2 linked regions of the Drosophila melanogaster genome follow. The protein of the gene in region 2 interacts with the protein of the main gene of each other region in a pairwise test. Each region holds a gene or a part of one and is shown on either strand. Other genes may lie near its edges.

Evidence for each region. Proteins that work in one complex are often made in the same cells at the same time.
Region 1: the proteins of Nup43 (region 2) and trus interact in a two-hybrid assay, tested with the Drosophila melanogaster proteins (one large-scale study listed by BioGRID).

Annotation. Positions count from the first base shown.
Region 1 is NT_033777.3:12,453,066-12,460,440, forward strand, and holds trus (toys are us), read left to right. Parts: upstream 1-3,507; 5' UTR 3,508-3,558; coding exon 3,559-3,666; intron 3,667-3,733; coding exon 3,734-4,827; intron 4,828-4,886; coding exon 4,887-5,142; 3' UTR 5,143-5,379; downstream 5,380-7,375. Other genes in the region: CG18549 (uncharacterized protein), read left to right, coding at 1,579-1,748, 1,820-2,277, 2,345-2,940; CG5961 (uncharacterized protein), read right to left, coding at 5,434-6,073, 6,135-6,823.
Region 2 is NT_033777.3:18,362,643-18,369,830, forward strand, and holds Nup43 (nucleoporin 43kD), read left to right. Parts: upstream 1-3,995; 5' UTR 3,996-4,077; coding exon 4,078-4,360; intron 4,361-4,425; coding exon 4,426-5,219; 3' UTR 5,220-5,271; downstream 5,272-7,188. Other genes in the region: hmw (hemingway), read left to right, coding at 1-374, 430-1,127, 1,182-1,341, 1,404-1,541; WRNexo (WRN exonuclease), read right to left, coding at 1,968-2,123, 2,180-2,423, 2,479-2,703, 2,766-2,971, 3,030-3,134, 3,269-3,337, 3,394-3,453; gl (glass), read right to left, coding at 6,160-6,304, 6,701-7,188.

The sequences.
Region 1 (7,375 bases), 5.9 Mb from region 2:
TATAATCAAAGCAAATCAAAGAAACTATTTTATAAAGCTAAGTTCACTATAGAACAAAGGCAAAAATGGACTGGATATATTTTATATTTCGCATACCTAAAGATTACAATAATAAAAAATATTCTCACATTAATATTGCAATTTTGTTTAAATATGTAATGAAATTAGGTACTAGGGCAAGCGTCAAGCAAACATCGATATACCCAGTGCAAGGAAATTTCAAACAAAACTCGTTTCACATTTTTAGAGTTTTTCTCGAGTCGTTGTGCCAGTTTTTTTTTTTTTGCCTAATAAATAGCAAAAAGCAATGTGACGATCGACTTAATAAGTTATTCAGCGCATTCTCCTGCAATTCCGCGTACGCATTGTACTTTCTTTATTGCACTTCGACTTTCTTTTGGGCCATGTTTGCTCAAAACTTGACCCAATTCTCGGTTTTATGTCCGTCGATTTGATAATGAGGAGATCATTAACAAATTTTCATTGATAAGGAATAGCTGCACTTGAAACTCGAGATTTCTTATCAACAACAACGATCGCTTATGCTACCCTACAACAGTGCGCCATAAACATTAGTTTTTTTTCATACATTAGAAATAACCAAATAGATTAACCACTTTCCATAGAAAGATTTACTAAACACTTCCTGAACTCCCAGGGTCACAAAACGTTTTCATTGGCAAATCAGTTCCGCTTCTCGACTGCAGACACTTAAGTTCTTGACTTTCACTTGCTCATTAATGGCTATATTTCAATGGGGCACTTCTAAAACATTATCAGCGGGTGCAACCTCTCGAGTTGAACTTCAAAATGGGCACGAGGACCGGACCAGATTTGCAGCGCCACTTAATTGATGCAAATAGAAATCAGAATCAGAGTTTTTCGCTCAGATAACGATATCACTCGACATTTGCCGAGATGCGTCCTTTGGAATGGAAAATTTTTAGACTCGAACGCAAACATGTTTTGCAAATGCAGCTTGGAATTTTCCATTGACATTCACAAGAATTGTAAAGTTAACCCTGAATCTGGTTGCAGATCCAAGTCGATTCATATTAATTTTTGTTCAATAGCTGCAGTTGTTTTTCCAACGCTCCAAAGAGTATGAGATATATGAATCATTATGTTTTCAATATAGGAAACAATTTCAATTTTAAACTTTCTTTGATCACTGAATTTCAGAAAGTCTAATAAGCATAAGATCTTAAAGATAGACTTCATAACTAAATTGGCTTGGGATGTATAATGAACCGAACATATACCTATAAATATAAATATGCTTGATATTTAATCCGAACAGATAACAATTCAGGCCCAACTTAGTTTTAAGTCAGTTCAATCTGCTTTGGTTGGGGTTTTATTTTAAGGAGATTGTGCCTTCATAACGTATCCGGACAGGAAATACCTGTATTATGCGTACTTGAGCCGAGAACACGTTTATCGTATAACATTTAAAGAGAAACATTAAACAAATGCGTCGGCCGTCGGTTCATTGGCATGCAATCGTCAAAAAATGTGTCTGGCACGTTACCAAAATGCTAATCGCTTCAACTTTCAATACGTTCTCTCAATCTGTAGAAAACCATACTGGATAGCATTTCCCAGGAAGATGATACCTTCAAGGGTGAGGGCTACACCAGCCTGGCCATTATCTACCTGTTCTTCTCGCTCTCCAATTGGCTGGCACCCTCGTTCATTTCGTTCACCGGACCACGAGTGGCCATGGTCGTGGGAGCACTGACCTATACGTGAGTATATACCCCCCCACCGGTCCGACTCATACATTTTGGTACCTAAAACATTTGAAACTCTTTTGCAGAGCCTTCATGATCACGTTCATGTTCCCGTCGACGGTATTGCTGTACGTGGGCAGCGCAGTGCTGGGATTGGGTGCCTCGATCACTTGGACGGGACAGGGAACGTATCTGGCGCGCTGCAGTGAATCTTCCACGATTTCCCGTAACTCTGGCGTCTTCTGGGCCCTGCTGCAGTGCAGCATGTTCATTGGGAATCTGTTCGTGTACTATCAGTTCCAGGACAAGACCCGCATCGACAAGGAGACACGGAATCTGGTCATCGGCGTGCTCACGGTAATTGCTGTGCTGGGCATCGTGTTTCTGGCCGCACTGAGATTCATGGCCGATAATGCCGAGCACGACAACGAGCTGGAACAGAAGCACACGGGCTGTGGACAGGCCATATACGCATTGAAGTCCGCAGGACAATTGTTCCTCACCAAAAAGATGCTGCTCCTTAGTCTGGCCTTCTTTTACACAGGTGGGTTGGATTGTGGTCAAAACTGAATAGAATCAGAGATACTAAGTGCTTAAACATAACTTTCTAGGCCTGGAGCTGTCATTCTTTAGCGGAGTTTTTGGATCAGCGATTGGATTCACCACGAAAATAGCCGAAACACCGAAGGAGATCGTTGGACTGGTGGGCATTTGCATTGGAGCCGGCGAGGTCTTTGGAGGAGGACTATTCGGCATACTGGGCAACAAGACGACGAGATATGGACGCGATCCCATCGTGATTGCCGGCTATGTGATGCACATGGCAGCCTTCTTCATGACGTTCATCAACCTGCCGAACAGTGCACCGTTTAAAGATACCACCGATATATCCTATCTGGACCCGCCCCGAGCCAGCATCGCCTTGGTGTGTGCCTTCCTTTTGGGCCTGGGCGATGCCTGTTTCAACACTCAGATCTACTCCATGCTTGGCGGGGAGTATGTGAACAATGCCGTGGGAGCCTTTGCCCTGTTCAAGTTCACCCAGTCGGTGGCGGCGGCCATTAGCTTCTTCTACTCCTCGCACTTCGGGCTGTACGTGCAGCTGGGCATCCTGGTGGTTATGGGAACCATTGGCACCATTGCCTTCGTCTTCGTAGAGTGGGGCTTCAAGCGGCAGCACCGCGAGCAGGAGGCGTTGGAGAAGTAATTCCGTTGTGGGACTCAGAGGATCTAGAGTATTAGATGCAGGTTCTTGTTAGAACTCTAGGGCTAGGGCCATTTGTCCGTGTTTGTTAAATTCCTCGGAATGCTTTAAATCCGTGCGACTGCGTCGTCTTCCTAGACAATAACTGATAAGTGTTGTTGCGCGCTATTGTTGCTAAATATACGTATTTTAATGTTGGCATTCCAAAAAACGTAATTGTAATCTAGTTGTCTATGTTTTTATATGTGTGTATTGTATATGTGCGTTTATTTATTTTAAGCGGCGATTGTGCAAATATAAGATAGTAAACCACAAATTTGGAGTATTATAAGAAATATATAACGAATTTTAAGAAAATAATAGTTGTTATGGATCTTACTTGTGTGCTACTCATTAATAATAGAATTTTGTGCTTTTATTTCATTTTTCAACTATTTGATATATTTTTGAACTGCCTAGATTTCATACTTTGAAATTCGCACACTCGATTACGATGAGTCGATATCTTTTAAAATCGATAGTACCATGTGCAACTATCGGTTGTCTGCCCATGAGCACTCATTTCGCCCATTCCTAAAAGAAATCATTCAATTTTGAAAGACTTGAATGAAACCATGAAAAATGGCCAAGAATAAGTCGACTGTGTACCTAGGATACGAGGATGAGGAGGTTACGGCCAAGCAGGAGCAGCTCCTGAACAGTTGCACAAACAAAATCGGTGGCACACCCGTAAGATAGGCGATTGCATCGACTTCAATAGAGGCAGCGGATAATTGAAATTGATTTTTACCCACAGGATTGGCCCAGACACGAGGTGACCATTCCGTCATGCCCGCTGTGCGGTGCAGTGCGTCCACTGATCGTGCAGATGTACGCCCCGCTGGATCGCTCCCAATTCCATCGCAGCCTTTACGTTTTTGGATGCATGAACCCAGTTTGCTCTCAGAATTCAAAGAGCTGGTGTTGTGTGCGCACTCAGCACCTGGACCACCAGTACGAGGTGATCAGTGAGCATTCGCCGAAGGCAACGCCAACTAAGAAGCAGAACTCCAAAAAAAAGGGGAAGTCGAGCGGATTGCAGGCTATCAGCTGGTGTAGTGGAGCGGACGACTGGGGCGACAGCAGTGGTGGAGCAACCGAACAGGCCAAGACCATCTCCGTGGCATTGGACGAGGCTATGGACATCACCGCGGACGACGACCAGAACGAACGGAATGGCAATGTGCGACCGAATGCCCTGCAGTACGCCAAGTCAGACATCCAAATAGATGAACCAGCCAAACTTGAGCAGGTAAAGATTGCCGCCGATGATGACGACGACGAGGACGAGAGCACTTCGCTGGAGAACGAATTGATCTCTGGCTTTCATCAAATGGACATGATCTCGCCGCAAAACGCCGACGATGATCCAAATGCTAATTGTGCAGCGGCCGCCGCTCCCAGTTTGGATGGAGCTGGAGCCAGTGCCGCCTCAGCGGCCATTGGTGCTGAGATCGAGGGTCCCGAAACGGATCTGGTGCTGGTCGACACGCCCAAGAAGCCGGAACGCGACCTGATTGCCTTGTTGAAGCACACCTCGGGTGCGCTGTCGCAGATCAAGGACCTAACGCTAAAGTCTTACTATATTGCCGTCGATGTAGAGAACAAGACCCAGGCGGAGGAGTACGAAAACTTCGGAGGCGCTTTGTCCATGGACCACATTCGTGATTTGTATCAGGAGTACAAGCTGAGAGACCAGAATCCGGGTCAGTCACCGACCGGCGGTGCATCTGGACCAGGAGAGCAGGGCGATGAGAACGAGTCCTACGAGAAGGCATTGCCAGCCCATGGCGATTTGGTGTTTCACAACTTTATCACTACCATCCATCAGAATCCGGGCCAGCTGTTGAGGTAAACATTGTACTTCTATCCTCATTAACTTTCCTCTTACCCAAGTTGTTCTGCTTCAGATATTCGCGGGATACGATCCCGCTGTTGGTGGCCCCGTTCACGGAACCTCTGCCCAAGTGCCAGAATTGCAGGGGAGAGACCATCTGCGAGGTGCAGCTGCTGCCCACACTGATTCCCAAGCTGCGGTTCCAGGTGAACGGTTGCAATGCACCAATCGAGTTTGGCAACGTGCTGGTCTTCACCTGCCTCAAGAGCTGCTGGGACACACCCGACCTGATGCGCTACGAACATATTGTGGTTCAGTCTGAAACTTAAGGTGCCGTACACGGCCATTTCCCAAAGCCATTAGAGTCATTCGCTGTAGCCGCTACGATTGCAGACTGGTGCAACGAATTTTAAACGCAAACTGCAGAGATAAAGCTAAGCTTCTCGATTGTCCTAGGAAGATTTTATGCTCTAGTTGTTAAGAACGTTGTAAGCTTTTAGACACTCCAAAAATGGATAGTTGCTAATAATATCTCGTTATTTCCACTCCCCCTCTAAAAGGGTTTCAAAACATATTGTTTTATTTCCAACTTGCAGAAATCCATTCTAATTCTAATTAACCTAAGCCAATGGTGCATCAGCATCAAGATGGTAGCTCTTTACGGTTGAGAACCTCAGCGCCGGATATTTGGCCTCGGTCAAATCGAACTCGGAGCTGATGTCCACCTTGTTGCGCTTCTGCACGAGCGTGTAATGTGACCAAACCAACTGGGCGCATCGGCGCTTGGTGGTGCCTGCGATGCGCAGCTCGATCAGGAACTGTGAGGAGTCCTCATCCACTGGCATGATACTCCCTCGCCTCTGCCGCACGTTAGCCGGCCCTCGCTGCTGCGACTTTTGCAGCACCAGAGTGACTGTGCTCCCGAAGAGACGATAGCGACCCCGAAGCATTTCCGCCCGTACGTTGTTCACGTGCTTCAGTTTGGATACACCTTGCGCCGGCTCATCGGCAGTCGTCATCATCAGCACCTTGCCATCGGGCAGAAAGCGAATGTAGCGATAGTACTCCACCAGTTGCACAGGACGGTAGAACTGATCCTGGAAGCTGTTCTCGCCCATTCTCAGGTACGTAGTCTTGCTGATGTAGCAGCCGTTGAAAAGAACTCGGTCTCGGCGGATGAACATGTCTCGCCAGGAGTGGAACACGTTGCTTACATCCGAATCCTGGGCCTCTAGAGTTCCAACGTTGTGGCCCCATACTCTATACAGAAAATTACGATAGGTTCATTGAATCTTAGGCGTTATTTGAAAGAGTAACTTACTTGACACAAGCTAGCCTCCAGAGCTCCTCATCCCGCGCGTAGACATAGAAACCTTTGCAAACAGCAGCGCACTGCTCTAGCGAGCGCATGTCCAGTTGGGCGGAAACCACCCAGCGCAGGATGCGCATCACAATCTCGGGCGGCAGGTCGGCAAAGTGCAGACCGGTGGTCAGGACATTGGCATCACGGCTGGATGCTATCATCTTGCCATTGTAAATGTTTTTCTGACGCAAATCATGCTGGAACTTTTCGTACAGGTTGTCCACGACCTCCTCCCCATCCGACTGACCTAGATCCAATTGCTTGGCCAAATCGTTAGCCAGATTGAGGTACTTCTTGCTGACATCGTTGCTGAGCTTTTGCTTCTGCTGCTCGTAGAACCTGAACTCAATATCCGGAACGATTTGGGTGGCCTTCCTGTAGAAGGGTAGTGCGTCGTAGACCTTGCCACGCTGCTCCAGCTGCACAGCGGTCCGATAGAGACTCTCCGCCTTGGCCTGCAGTAGATCAGCCTCGCTGAGATTGGAATTGGCCGCCGTGAGGCGATCTCCAGCCTCGGAATGGCTCCTGGATCCAGTGTTTGTTGTGTGTTCCTGCAGCTCCCGCTGCCAGTTCTCCCGGAACTCATCCAGTGCATTGGTGCCCGTTTTCCGGGTTGGCTCCTCGCCATCCGAGTCCACATCCGACATGATTAGAGCTAGAAACTAGTCTGCGAATGCCAATCAGATCGTAGATTATAAACATCTGCGCATTTATCTAACGCAATTTCTAACCTGAAAGATTTTAGTATTCGATGTGGAAAGGTACGGAAGTTGGTAACAAAATAGAACTTATAATAAAGGGCCGCGCGTATTGCTGATTTTGGGCGCGGGCTTCACCCCAGAATTTCGTAGTTGTATGCAACTGGGAGCAACATGTGGCCATTGGTAAGACCCCAAGATTAAGAGTATTCAAATACGCAAACGAGAACACTTCTACACTAATGTTATTGTTTACAGTGTGCACGCATTTGCTTAAGAAGTAATTCTTATAAACGCTCTTCTTTAAACATTGACTTACTGATTTCGTCAATTTCAAAAAGGTTATATTTAAGCGAAATTCTCCCAAAATGTGCTTCTAATTAGTATTCTATAAAGATATTTACAATTACTAAAGATCAATTTGAAAATCGATATCATATCATATGCATATTCGATAAATATTTAAAAACAGCTGACTTCAACGCGGTTCTGTTTTGTTTT
Region 2 (7,188 bases):
AAAATGATAACGATAATGAGGACGAGAATGATGACGAGGATGCTGAAGTCGAGGAAATCGAAGAAGAGGAGGAAGAAATTCCAGGAGACGAAGACGACGCCCAAAGCGATGGATCCATGGGTCGTCAATCCGCCGACGACAGCGACGAGGAGGAGGGCACGGATGTGGAAGTGGAGCAGCTGGAGGAGGACGAACCAATTGTAACAGCTGTGTGCAAAAAGACGGTCCAGAAGGAGTTACCACCGCCCCAGAAGGACATTGTTTCGCTGGTCGATGCCAGTGATAACAGTAGTGAGCACAGTGTGGTCACCATGTGTGCATCAGGAGACGAAACAGACAACACCTTGGTGAAGTATCCTAGATTACGAAAGCAGGTAAATAATGGATTAGATAATATCTCACTACAGATAATTAAACACCTACTCACAGCAACCACTTACTGCTAAGGATTCGCAATCGCTAAAAGAGCAGGAAGAACCGGAAGAACCGGAACAACCCGAAGAAAATCAAACAGAAGAACACATGCCAACATCACAGCCCGATCTGGCGAGGGTTCGGTACCTGGAGCAGCAGATGACCCAAATGTCGGAATTGATCATGAAGTCATTCCAGATCAATGGAGGAGCGCCAAATAGCCAAGCCTTCGAGCAGCTTGCCATGGCCACGGAGATGTTGCAGCAACGAAGTGACAGGCGCGGGGACACTGAATCCGAGATGTCATCGATGACGGAAACGACTATGACCAGTGCTAGGAGCTTGGGTGGAGGAATTCCCCCCCTGACAATGCGGATGGAGCGTTCTCAGGAGGCACTACTCACGACGCGATCTTCCAAGCTACCCAGACCCAAATGCAGATGTCCCTCGGAATCGGATTTAATTGAACACGAGCAGAAACTGGATATGGGTCACGAGTTGCCCCATGACCTGGCAGCGAACTTCGGCTTGGGCGAAGGCTACCTCGTAGACGAATGTGGCCAGGGCGACGGACTCATGAGGCATCCACAACAGCGCAAACCAATGGAGTTAAACAGGCGAGCCGTTAGCGGAACTCCAAGCACCTTCAACAGCGACGGTTGCGAGTATCAAATCAATGTGTCGCGTTCCCGCTGCTCTAATGATAAGATTAAGTAAGTAACTTATAATACTTATACACTCTATTACATATAATTACATCTGCATAGCTATAAAAACCTTGGGCGCAAAAGCTTTAGCTTTACGAATCCCCAAGTGCGCGAGATCGAGCGCCAGAATCAGATTCTTTTGCGCAAGATGATGACTGTGAAGCCCACGGCGACGATCAAGGCTAGCACCAGTAGCATAAAGATCAATGGGCCCGAGAAGGTGAGTACATAATATAGAACTTATGTCCAATATTAAACCTCTTCCTTAACAATGTCATACAGCGACAGACACCTCCAGCGCCACGACTGTCCAGCGCAGCTGTGAACCGGAAGAAGAATCAGCGCCAGATCGACCTGGACAACGATCTGCTCAAGCGGAAACTGGAGGCCATCGGCACACGGCGACCGCAATTCAAGTGACGCCTCCACAGGCAGCTCCAACTGTGTTCATTAAGTAATTAAAAGTGTTTATGCGAATTTACAAAATTAAAATTTATTGCAAGTTGAAAAGTGTAAAAAGCTGTATAATCTTAATATAATTTTAAGGGAATTTATAAACCAACTAGAATTCATGCAAAAATGTATAGTACTAGTAAAATTTCGTTCCGATCAAAGTCAATGCATCAAAATGTGTTTATAATTTGTACATTTAGGTATAAACAATTCTATAAATGTTATCGTAATCAATAATCGAATTGGATAGCAATATTAAATTTAACAATTATTTTGCAGCACGTTGGTAACAAATTAAACTAAGAAAAACTCCCGAAAATAAATGAAAGAAGGCGAAAATATTTAAACAGGTAAAAGGAATTAGATGGCATATCTGAAACTTCAAAGAAAAGCTTACAGAGTCACCTCGTTGATCTTGGTCAGAAATGTCTCTCCCAATGCTTTCATTGCTTTAAAGGCAGCATCTCCGTTCTTTTCCTTGAACTCTTCTTCATTTTTAATCTTGACCTTCTCGCGGCGTTCCAATTCACGATAGATAACCTGACCAATCTGAAAAGAAAACTAAGATTGAACGAAATTGTATGGAAAAGTGAATATCAACTTACATAGACATCGATGGCGGCGTACATTAGTTGATTCTCGTCCAGCGGAATGACATGCCACTTGCTCATGCGCACCTTCTTGCTTTTGTCCATGGCCTTCTTGGCTATAAAGTTGGTTAATCGCTCCAAGCTCCAGCGCCCGCCGGTCTCACAGACCTCATTGCACCAAAGACCCAAGTCCACGCATTTCTCTATCAGTGGTTCGGCTGTAACCTCGGGGAAATCACGTGCCAGCTTTCGGAAATCGCTGGAAAATAACAGATTTTATTTATCCAAATGGATTTTTCCTTTGTATAACTAACTTCTTTATGTTCACGCCATGCAATCGCACTTTGGGATGATTGATAAGGGCCACCAGGGCCGCAGGCAGTTTCTTCACATTAGTCAGCTGGTATATGTAGCAGCACTTTTCATCCACGCATATCTGGATGACGGCAGACTTGCCAGGTCCTGTTTGGAAAGAGAAGGGCCACTCCATGTCGAAGGCCATGGGCACTACCTCATCTTTTTGTTTTTCCACCCATTGCCTAAGTTTTGATTTTTAATGCACATTATTAACAAGCAGGAATAAGTTATAGAGTTAACTTACAAAACATCGTCAGCAGATGCCGCAATATCCTGGCTCTCCGTGAAATACTTTATAGCACCCTTGTATTTAATAAAGGGAAGCTTTTCGGGCTTTTCCTTCTCCGGTGATGGAGACCCATCCTCTGCCATTGAACGAGTGCTTCTGGTCAGCCTGGAACTCCGGCGCTTGGGCGGATTTTCTTCCTCCATCGCTAACTTCTCAGTCTTCTATAAAGTTGTTAATGCTTCGTCCCAATATAAACTTAATATATAAATTGTTGCTTACCACATCTGGAGTATCCAGATTTTTTCGCTTGGCAGCCGGTCTACCGGGTCTTCCTTTCGTTTGCTTTGGCGTATTATCATCTCCAGCATTTTCTTTATCTTTCAACTGCAAGATTTATTCGGTTGAAATAGTATACATAGTCATTATTGCTTCCGATTTACAGAAACCGATTCTTAGTTTTGAAAAAAGCAGTAGCAGTATTTTAAATAATAAATTCTAAATAATAAACAAATGCAAACCTCTTTTGGAGTATCCTTTTTTGTTGCTTTCCTTGCCACTTTGGGAGTCTCCTTTTTGACGCCCGCCTCCTACAAATACTTTTAAGTTAGTTTTTATCCCTGCACGAAATTGTGTATTAGCCTACTTCCTTGGGAACTTCATTTGCTTTTGATTTGATGGGCATTTTTGTTAAATATTTTTCCATAACCCGCGTTGCTTGTTCGTTTTCTTAAATGCTTTGTTTACTATTATTTCCCGCCAAAAATATGGAGGGGTAGGCGCACATAAACACCACAGTACGAAAAAATACTGTGACAATCGATAAGTGCCTTGATGAGTTATGAAGGAACGGTAGAATTTGGAACAAGGAAATGTTTTTTATTTATTTATATTATTGTTATTTCAAGGTGAATTCGATAAACTAAAAATGCAATTTTTTTAAGAAAAGAAAGATATAACTATCTATGTGCGAAATAAGTTTATAGGACTCAAGAAAGTATATATAATATGCTATTGAAAAATTGGCGCCCCACATTTTGGGGGACATCTCCACTCGCAGAGCCTGTGCAAGCTTGACCACCTTAAAGGATATTTCAGGAAAATTTCATAATAGAATTACCAATCGTTTTTGAGATAAGCTCATTAAGTACCATAATATAGATCCACATAACAATTTTTCTGCTTTTGTTTCCAGCCCTGCCCAATTTATAGATACCAGATTAAGTTTCCCGCTAAGATATGTTGCGATCTTCTTGCTCTGGTCACACTTAACTCGAAAGCCGCATTATTTTGTTTACATCGCGAATCCTCTGCTAAATCCAACGAAAAGATGTCCATTGCAAACGTTTCCACGCACTACATATCCGAGAAGGTGTCCCAAGTGCGCTGGCTTCCGGAGGAACTGCAGCAGAGCGAACGGTTCGTTACTGGAAGCTGGGACATGGACCAGAACTTCGTGCGCCTCTGGCGGCTACAATCGAACCAATATGTCACCGCCACGGATTCGGAAGTGGACCAGATACCTCGCTGCATGGACAAGGTGAGAATGGAGGACGATGTGACCGCCATGGAGTTCGTCGACAAGGACACGCTGGCTGTGAGCTGTGCCGATGGTCAGTTACAAGTTCCAGCAATCATGAACTCAGCTAAATAAATGTCTATTTTAATACCAAACAAGGTCATCTCAGCGTGTTTAACGTCCATCGAGCCGTGGAGGAGGATCAGATGCAACGTACGTCCCGATCGGGACGTCTGCACTGCTTCCAACGTAGCCAGGAGCCCGCTCCTTGCACCGACCTTTCTGTTTACGGCACGGATATCGCCACCGCCGGCGAGGATGGGTGTGTAAGCATCGTCTCCGTGGAAAATGTGCGCCAGGTGAAGCGACAGATTGAGGCGGACAGCATGGCGCTGTTTTCCATTTGCTATATCAGCCAGCAGGAACTGGTGACTGCCAATAGGATGGGTGTTATCCGAATGCTGGACGCCCGAGTGGCCACTGAAGCGCAGCCGAAGACCACCTTTATGGTGGCCTCCCAGGATGACAAGTCGAACTTTGTCTCGTCCCTTGCCAAGCATCCGATGCAGCAACATATTTTACTTTGCGGCAGCGAAGAGGGTTCCATAACCGTCTGGGATATGCGAAACCTCAGTTATCCCGCCTCCTATCTCAGCGCTCACAAAAGTCCCATCAACGAGATAGGCTTCCATCAAAAGGATCCCAGCAAACTGTTCACCGCCGCAGAAGGTGGCGAGGTGTGGATGTGGTCAGAGAACAAAGTTCTCGGGTGCGACTATAACAAAGACGGACACAGCCCCTGGTTGTCTGGCGATCGTGTTCGCTCCCTGGTCGATGTGGAGGGAGTGCTGAGTAATGTTCGCAAGTCCATCAACTCCTTCGATGTGCATGGAAGTCGTCTGGTCTGCGGAGGCGACACAGAAGCCGTTTACCTAGTTGATAATATTGTTTAAATGTCAAGCCTTTTGAATTCCTTACCTAAATTATATAATATTTCAATTGTTGAAATCAATTAGTTACTGTATTTAATTTTCGTATATTTATTATTTTCTTTATATACTCCAAAATTGGCTTAGATCAAAGCACCTGTCTTACATCTACGTCTAGTTTAAGCTTAGGACTCTATATTCGTATACAGGTGTTTATGGGTTTAATGCCTTGGCAATTCCAATTTAAATATTCTCGTTTTGGGTGCTGCTGTGTTGTTTGGTCTTATGATTCATACTCATATCCGTCTTAAATCCTATTTCGTTGGCTAATTTGGAATAGATTTATGCGTGTTTTGAACTACCTTATTTAATGGATGAACTAACTTGGATTCAATGCATATTAGGCTAAGCGAATATAATAAATATAGTATGTATAAGTATGTACAGTGCAGCTCTTAGGCCTACTTTTGTTCGATTCTCCGCGATTCCTCAGATTTGTATTGTTTGAGCATTTTTAACTGCATTTGGATGCGGATTTGGGTTATGAGTATTATTACATCGTTATGTTCAATTAGGATTTCAATTTAACACGAACCCAAATTATTTTTCTACAGCAATGTTGAGTATGGCATATACATTATTGTATTTATCAGCGATAGAGTGACTATCCCCGTATAATTCACTGAGTGGTCCTCCTTTAAGGTTTCTTATCCAGATGGGATCCTCCAGATTTTAGTCCCTAGTAGAATCGTTCGAACTTGGGCGCCTTGTTGAGTGCGCAGAAATAATACCCTGAATAGTTTTGTGTGGCTCCGGGTGGAGTATAATCGCCGATGCTGTAGTTCCCGTAGTCGTAGTTACCCATGTGGGCGTGGTGATGGTGATGGGCGTGGTGCTGGTGGTGCATGTGGTGGGTGTGCGGGGGGTGGTAATGCTGGAAACCTCCTGCACTCCTTGGCTTTTGTCATGTGAGCAGGCTGTTGCCACCACCAACTCCGCTGCCGGTGGAGGACTCTCCACCAACTCCGGTTGCCCCATTGCTGCCATTGCTGCTGTTGTTGTTGCCGTGGACGCGCATGTGCCGATTCAAGTTCCCCGACTGCGAAAATCTGTGGACACCAAAAAAGCAATTAACTCGATGTATAACGTTCCAGGACTGCTCTTTGGGGGCCTAAGCCTTTTTTAAGGGGTAATTTTCATCTTTAGCATTACATTTGAATAAACAATTATTATTTCATTTAATTTCAGTTCTTTAGTTGAAGTTGAAAATCTTACGAAAATGCATGAATGAAAATGAATGATGCATATTATCTTTGGTTTTCCTTTTTTTTAAGCTTGCAACAGTCTCAGTTTTGTTCAAGTTGTTAGTTTTATATTGAAACGATAGAAATTATTAAACTATCTTTAAAGCTTTAAGGGTTTACGTAAAAGTAAAAGCAAAACCATTTTCGTTCGTTTAGGAATGAGGAAGGACGGTGTAAGTAAATCCCCCATCCCGGACTCACCTGAGCAGGCAGAGCTTGCACTGGTAGGGCTTCTCGCCACTGTGGATTCGCAGGTGCTTGGTGAGGGTGCTGCTGTCCGAGAAGGACTTCTTGCACGAGGAGCAGCGGTACGGCCGCTCGCCGGAGTGGGTGCGCATGTGCGTGGTGACACTGGAACTCTGCGAGAATCTCCGGTCGCAGATGGGGCAGCGGAACGGCTTCTGGCCGGTGTGTGTGCGTACGTGAGCCGTCAGGTTGGCTGCCTGCGAGAAGCTCTTGTTGCAGTCGGGGCATCGATAGGGTCTTTCGCCGGAATGGGTCCGCAGATGGGTCTTGAGCGTGCTGGGCCGGGCATATGTCTTTCCGCACAACCGGCATAGATTGGGTTTCATCTCGCCGCCACTGCTGCCCTCATCGCCGTCCAGATCCTCGTTGCTATCCTCCTCGTCCTCGAAGGCGGATAGACTTAAGCCCAGGGCGGCTGCCTGATAGCTGGTGGGACTTTTGTG